Xenopus tropicalis: one gene and its partner. The protein of the gene in region 1 purifies or fractionates together with the protein of each later gene. This does not show direct contact. Links are inferred from orthologs where the notes say so. Each region holds a gene or a part of one and is shown on either strand. Other genes may lie near its edges.

Region 1 (4,192 bases):
ATCCTATCTGATCCCCCCATTGTAAGCAGCAGTCCTGCCCTGCTTTATGGCTGAGATTCTAGCTATCTGTATAACAGAGCATTCTGTCACAGTGGCACAGATCCTATCTGATCCCCCATTGTAAGCAGCAGTCCTGCCCTGCTTTATGGCTGAGATTCTAGCTATCTGTATAACAGAGCATTCTGTCACAGTGGCACAGATCCTATCTGATCCCCCCCCATTGTAAGCAGCAGTCCTGCCCTGCTTTATGGCTGAGATTCTAGCTATCTGTATAACAGAGCATTCTGTCACAGTGGCACAGATCCTATCTGATCCCCCCATTGTAAGCAGCAGTCCTGCCCTGCTTTATGGCTGAGATTCTAGCTATCTGTATAACAGAGCATTCTGTCACAGTGGCACAGATCCTATCTGATCCCCCCATTGTAAGCAGCAGTCCTGCCCTGCTTTATGGCTGAGATTCTAGCTATCTGTATAACAGAGCATTCTGTCACAGTGGCACAGATCCTATCTGATCCCCCCATTGTAAGCAGCAGTCCTGCCCTGCTTTATGGCTGAGATTCTAGCTATCTGTATAACAGAACATTCTGTCACAGTGGGCATATTGGAATGCCATCCCTGTAGCTTTTGCCCCCGGGGCAGCAGCTGAGTGACACTAATGTGGTTGTGACTAGTCAGTAACCTGGAGATGACAAACAGAGGGGTTGGTATTAACAAAGGGTCATGTGACAGGGGGACGGTGGGGGGTAGGAAGGTGCTAGTAGCACAGTTCTGCCCAAGACCCAGGTGCCTATTGTGTTTGGAAGGAAAGTGTGAGCTGTAGAACCGGTTGCACCAGCCTGGGCCCCGGTGTCTGGCCCAGATACCAATCTCGCCCGGGGGTGGGTACGGCTGTTTCACTTTATGACAGACGCTGTTGATTTAGCGGTTACAGAGAATCTTGTGTTTGTATGTGGCCGCATTCCTCTGGCGCATGATGCATTCTCATTGGCCGGGGGCCACACAGGTCATCCCCACAATTACACTTTATAGAGAGAGAACTTTGTTTTAAAGGGGAACTCCGCCCAAACGCTGGAAGGAAATCTTCCCAATATCCATTTATTGTGTCTGTCCCTTCCCTGCACTGCTGGTTCTGACTCCTGATACAACTCCCCAATACCCATTCATTCCTCATTCTCACTGGGTTTATAGTTATGTGTAACTGTCACTGTGTCTGTCTCTTTCCCTTCTCTGCACTGCTGGTTCTGACTCCTGATACAACTCCCCAATATCCATTCATCCCTCATTCTCACTGGGTTTATAGTTGTGTAACTGGTTCTGACTGTTTATATAACTGTATCCCTGTATGAAGCAGTGCAGGGAGAGCCCAGTTATACCCAGACCCAGTTATTTTAGTCCCAGAATTCAGTGGGGCACTGGGAGTCCCTGGGAGGGATGGGGCTGAGCCCTTGAACTTTGCGCTGCTATAAAGTAAATGCTTTAGTGTGCCGCCCTTACAGCAGCTCTATCAGTGACCCTGTACAGAGATAATGACTGAGATTTATTGCCATTTAGTAGGAATGGGCCAGATTGGTTCCAGGATTCTTTACTCCGATTCATTGTGCCCAGCAAATTGATATGTGACCCACTTGCAGTGGGTGCTGTAGGGGAGTGACCCCCATATAAGTGATCGGTACCCACCTATACATTATTGGGGGGGCGGGGCATCTTGTGGCTTTCCCTTAGGGTTTATGGGCTACTGGGCATTTGTCTGGTTCTGCCATCCCTCAGGACTAAATGCCAGCTGGGCTAGTGACATGTAAGGCCCATTACCTGCCCGGGACCAGCTCAACCAGTGGGTTGCAGGGATTCCCTTCCCCCCCCCTATACCAAAAGATATTGTGCCCAAAAGCCCCCCCCCAAACCCCCCGGAGTCCAGAATCTGCCCCACTACTCGTTGTTAGGCAGCAAAATGCAGCCCTGTCCAATAGGAGAAGGGAGCATGCAAAGCAAAAGAGCCCTCGATAGATTGTTAGCTCTTCTGAACAGTTCCTTAGTGTCTATAGAGGGCACTTGTTCTTTGCTTGCTCCCTGCTCCTATTGGACAGGGCCCTGTTAGACACTAAGGAACTGTTCAGAAGAGCTTACAGTCTAACGGGGCCCTGTCCAATAAGAGCAGAGAGCAAGCAAAGCACAGGCACCCTCTATAGACACCTAGTAACTGTTCAGAAGAGCTAACAATCTAAGTTTCTATAGAGGGTATCTGTGCTTTGCTTGCTCTCTGCTCTTATTGGACAGGGCCCTGTTAGGAACTGTTCAGAAGAGCTAACAATCTAACAGGGCCCTGTCCTATAGGAGAATGGAGCAAGCAAAGCACCGACTCCCTCTATAGAGACTAAGGAACTGTGCAGAAGAGCTAACAATCTAACAGGGGGAAGCAGACAAACACAAGGGTTTGGTTGGGCACCATTCTTGGGACTGAGGCTGATGGGAAATAAATTAACCCCTCGGTTACTGTTTATCTTTACAGATTTGGCGCCAAGATGACGGAGTACAAACTTGTGGTGGTCGGAGCGGGAGGCGTAGGGAAGAGCGCCCTCACCATTCAGCTCATCCAGAACCATTTTGTGGATGAATATGATCCCACCATAGAGGTAAGGCTGCTTCAGGGTGGGGGGGGCGGTCCTTAAATATTGGTCATGTGACCCCCCCCCCCAATACAGTACATTGGGCTCTGTGTAAGTGCTGGCTTCCCATACACCCTTAAATGTTCCCCTTTGAGTTAACATTTAGTTGGATGTAGATATGATATTCTGAGACAATTTGCAATTGGTCTTCTGCAGGTCATTGGTTGCTAGGGTCCAAATTAACCTTAGCAACCAGGCAGCAGTTTGAAAGAGAGACTGATATATGAATAGGGGAGGGGCTGAATAGAAATTTAAGGAATAAAAAGTAACAATAACAATAAAACTGGAGCCTCACAGAGCAATAGGTTTTGGTTGCTAGGGTCCAAGTTACCTTAGCAACCAGGCAGCAGTTTGAAAGAGACACTGCTATATGAATAGGGGAGGGGCCTGAATAGAAAGATAAGGAATAAAAAGTAACAATAACAATAAAACTGGAGCCTAACAGAGCAATAGGTTTTTAGTTGCGAGGGTCCAAGTTACCTTAGCAACCAGGGAGTGGTTTGGATGAGAGACTGGTATATGAATAGGGGAGGGGCTGAATAGAAAGATAAGGAATAAAAAGTAACAATAACAATAAAACTGGAGCCTCACAGAGCAATAGGGTTTGGTTGCCGGGGTCAGTGACCCCCATTTGAAAGGCAAATAATTCAAAAACTATAACAAATAAATAATGAAGACCAATTGAAAAGTTGCTTAGAATTAGCTGTTCTATAACATCCCACAGCAGGGGGGCCCTTGGCTAAAAGCCTCCGCTCATACCCCTTTTGCCCCCGCAGGACTCGTACAGGAAGCAAGTGGTGATCGATGGGGAGACCTGCCTGTTGGACATACTGGACACCGCGGGGCAGGAGGAGTACAGCGCAATGAGGGACCAGTACATGAGGACCGGGGAGGGGTTTCTCTGCGTGTTTGCCATTAACAACACCAAATCCTTCGAGGATATTCACCATTATAGGTAAGGGGCTCATTCTCTGCCTTATATAGATATTGGCTGCACTGCTGCTTCTGACTCCTGACACATTGTAGTAGAAGCAGCTGCTACAATGTGTGGAGAGTCGGAACCAGACCCGGTTGAGGACTGACCCGACGCACTTGCGTTATTTCCCCGCAGGGAGCAGATAAAGCGAGTGAAGGATTCGGAGGACGTGCCGATGGTTCTGGTGGGCAACAAGTGCGACCTGCCCTCCCGGACGGTGGACACCAAACAGGCGCAGGATTTAGCCCGGAGTTACGGGATTCCCTTCATCGAGACGTCGGCCAAAACCAGACAGGTAACGGGACGCGCTGCCCCCCAGCAAATTTGTGTATTTGAACAAAGGTCGAGTTGGGGAAGGTTCTGTACTGAGCGGCTGGTCCATTGCTGCAGTGTGACCCAAGGTCCAACTATTCAGCCTTAGCTGTTGCCCCGGCGCTTGCACTTCTTTTTGTAAAAGGAATCTGCAGAACAAAAATACTCCACAGAATTGTCTAGCAGCGTTCTAGGCTGTTCCTGCTGAATTGTGCTTAGTACAGGGGAATCCCTATGTGCC
Region 2 (3,837 bases), on another chromosome or scaffold:
AGCCTCTCTAATTTGCAGCAGAGGGGAAAAAATTCCTTCCTGACTCCAAGATGGCAATCGGATCAGTCCCTGGATCAACTTGTACTAAGAGCTATCTCCCATTACCCTGTATTCCCTCACTTGCTAAAAAGCCATCTAACCCATTCTTGACACTATCTAATGTATTAGCCAGCTGCTGTCTGGCATTGCTTGCTACAGCCAAGTTTATTATCTACAAGGACTCCTTCTCCATTATGGATTTGCCTAGTGCAGTCCCATTAAGTGTAAGTGGCTTGCATATTTTTACATGCGAGGTACACATTAAATCTCATCTGCCACTAAGCTGCCCAGATTGCTAGTTTGTCAAGCAAACCTGGATCTCGGCATGCACAAAGGTGTGCTCCGATGCTTGTACATTTATTGAAGACTCAACTCCACAAATGAACTTGTCCTGCTTAAAATGTTATGTGGCTAATTATTTTTGTGATGGAGCTTTTTGGTGTGGAGCATCATAGACTAGTTTGTTACAATATTTTTAATTTTATGGAATGTGTATCTTAAATTTCAGATTACTTTTACATATTTGTAAGAGATTGTTTAATGTTGGAATTGTATTTAATATTTTCTTAACAGGCATTGAAATCATAAGGAGAACACTGAAGATTCCTGCAATGACCATCGCAAAAAATGCAGGTGTTGAAGGATCATTAGTGGTAGAAAAGATCATTCAGAGTCCAGTTGAGATTGGATATGATGCCATGCATGCTGAATTTGTTAACTTGGTGGAAAAAGGCATTATTGACCCCACAAAGGTAACAATATAAAATTAGTACATACAATATATCTATATCTCTCTTGGCTTAGTGCAGTTAGCTAGACCCATAGTAGTCCATCATGATCAGCTTTTTTCCAAATAGAACCTTCCTACGTTCTAGATTATCGAAAGGGAGGCATAATCTTAAACCACCTCCTGATTTGCCTCATACCCTTAATTCAGTAACCTTGTATCTCCCAGTAGAAGCACTTCAGGTAGAGAACATTTTTTTTGTGGGGGAACCCTTTTCACAGCTTTACATGGAAAGCTCCTTACTCCAACTAGAAACGCTGTTTGGTTTAGGAAAGACGTCCTCATTTGTTTGCAAAGCAGAAGGATTTCTGGAAAAGAAGTCCAGGATTGCTTCTAAAATTGGCAATTACATGAAATACTTTGTAGACCGAGCATCAGCCACTGAGGTTTTTAAAGTTAACAGTTCAGTGCAAAAATTTAAGCTGGGTAAAATTAGACTGTAAAATAAAAAATATTTCTAATATAGTTAGGCAAAAATGTAATCTTTAAAGGTGGAAGTGGACAGATGTCCAACATAATAGCCAGATCACTACTTTCTTCTTTCAGCTCTGTAACCTTAGTCAGTCAGTGATTTTAGGGGGGACCACATGGGACATAACTGTTCAATCTGACTTACATGCTCACAAACTAACCTAATGGTTATGTCCCATGTGGCATCCCCTAAAGTCACTGATTGGTTACTGACCACTAACGGCTTAGAGAGCAGTTTTTATTTTGTGCAGTCTATTTTACCCAGTTTCATTTTTGCACCAAACTATTCCTTTAAGCAAGCCAGGACAGTATGCTGATCAGATTCCCAAATTCACTCCATGGGCCATTAGCCTAAATTTTAAGTACAAAACCTTTAGGTTTATTAACATCACATCTACCACTTAACTGTTCAGATTGCCAGTTTATCCCGATCTCCTGCAAGGATGATGCATCCAGGATTGATTTCATTTTCCTGCATTGGCAAACACTAATGCATTGATTCAATTTGTTTTGTGATGGCTTTAAATGGACATTATTATCAAAGTGGACCCAATACAGAACCTAGCGACATCTTACTAAGAACCTTATTTCAGGTGGAGGATGTACTGCTTAGAACCATTTCTCTCTCTCTAGCCAGTTTTCTATCTGTGTTGCAAGCAGTATTACCAAGAACAGCTTAGTTTAGAAAGCAAGTGTAATATGTTGTAATCAAAAGCCTAGGTAAAATCTAAGTAGCTTCGTATACTACCACACCATTATCCAGGTTCCTACATAGTACATCATAAAAATAAATATTTAAGCAATGTTAACAAACTTAAGTGCTATATAATGTCAGATACTGACAACTTGAACTGAGCCCTCTGTAAATTGTGGGTAGTGTAACACTGACTTCTTTCTTGTATACATGTAGGAAAACAATTTAATAAAGCACATTTTTTAGATGTATGACATTTAAATGTAATTTTCTTGCCCTGTTATAATTACTATGGCCTTTTGTAGAATGACATTTTTACTGTTTAATGGGTACACTCTCTAAAAACCTAGTTCTTACACAGACATCTGCACACATTTTATTCCAGAGCTTACAATGAAATGTCCATGTCACACACTTGCCATAGAGTTCTTACAGTTGGTGTCTAGGTATTTCTAATAATTTACTTGAGAAGGGACCACTATCCTGCTTCCAACTTTGCAGTCTGTCACATTGATATTGTGTATTGATATACACTGAATCTGTAATAATCTACTAAGCAGTATATATGCACACACCTATATATAATATAATCTTATAATAATATGAAAATGTATGTGTGTGCTTGAAAAATAGCCCAGTGGAGACTATTTTATTTTATTTATGCTTCACATACAATGATGTGTTATGATTTACAGGTTGTGAGGACAGCTTTGATGGATGCTGCCGGTGTTGCTTCACTCTTGACAACAGCTGAAGCAGTTGTGACTGAAATTCCAAAAGAAGAAAAAGATGGTGGCATGGCCGGAATGGGAGGAATGGGAGGCATGCCCGGTGGTATGGGAGGTGGAATGTTCTAAATTTTTAAACTAAGAACTGATAAATGCCCATGTTAAAAGCTCTGAAATGTTGAGACAACCGAACCGTGAAGCTGGTGATACGTTTCAAAAGTTGGTTAAGATTACTTAACTGTTTACTGCTATCATTATTCATGCCCTTGTGTAATTTATTTTCTTTTTTGGTAGACCTTTGTACATTCCGGAAAAATTATGTAGTTGCCATTGTTACAGGAACATTTGTTTAAACTATTGTCATTTTTACCAGTGCTTCAAGTTTATTGATAGTTTTTACATTTTACTACCACTACTGCCCAGATTTAAATGTTAGTGTCTAATCCTGGCTATCTAAAAGACGTTAAAATAAAAATGTATTAATTATGTTTACTCTAAATTAGTTCCGAATGTAAGGTTTTTTTGGTTTTTTTTTTTGGTTTTTTGTCTTGCTGTCTGCACTGTTCTTTTTCTATTTCTTGCTTTTTTTACAATAGTGTTTACTTTTTAATAGTGTTAACTTTTAAACAGATGAGGTTTTAACAAAACTTATTCATGGCAGACCCCGATCAAAGATATATATACAGCTGATGAGTTAATTTATTTAGACCAACCTATCTTAAAGTGAAATCAAGTTGCCGTACAAAGTGTCTTTGGTCTTGCCCCACTGATCCTCTCTGTTGGGCATGTTGGCCTTTGAGAAAGATGAGGAGATTGACATTAATAGGGTTTAGTACTCTCTGGATCTCAATCAATTCAATTGGGGAAGTGAGAAGCTTGTTCTAGAGAGCCCATATAATGAGGTGTCTTTGAGGTCCTGAAGTCCTACACAATAGAAGGAAAGTAGAAATGAGAGGGAGTGTGTACAAACCGCTTGCAGGCAGTTCTCTGTGCTCTAAAGGGGATATTGACTACTGAAGAGCACTTAGTGCAGTCTGTCAGACTCCTATATTGCATGTTCTTCACTGCCTTAGACAAGCCCAATCTAAGTCTCAGGAGCAGAAGCCCTATGTCCATGT

Evidence for each region. The genes of interacting proteins can lie anywhere in the genome.
Region 2: the proteins of krasl (region 1) and hspd1 purify together in Homo sapiens (affinity purification with mass spectrometry; 3 studies listed by BioGRID and IntAct, with this or other methods). This does not show direct contact. The link is inferred for Xenopus tropicalis from reciprocal best matches to the Homo sapiens genes KRAS and HSPD1.

Annotation. Positions count from the first base shown.
Region 1 is NC_030679.2:2,101,283-2,105,474, reverse strand, and holds part of krasl (GTPase KRas), read left to right. Parts: intron 1-2,506; 5' UTR 2,507-2,519; coding exon 2,520-2,630; intron 2,631-3,439; coding exon 3,440-3,618; intron 3,619-3,774; coding exon 3,775-3,934; intron 3,935-4,192. UniProt on the Homo sapiens protein: Ras proteins bind GDP/GTP and possess intrinsic GTPase activity. Plays an important role in the regulation of cell proliferation.
Region 2 is NC_030685.2:46,506,334-46,510,170, reverse strand, and holds the end of hspd1 (60 kDa heat shock protein, mitochondrial), read left to right. Parts: intron 1-612; coding exon 613-791; intron 792-2,686; coding exon 2,687-2,848; 3' UTR 2,849-3,221; downstream 3,222-3,837. UniProt on the Homo sapiens protein: Chaperonin implicated in mitochondrial protein import and macromolecular assembly. Together with Hsp10, facilitates the correct folding of imported proteins.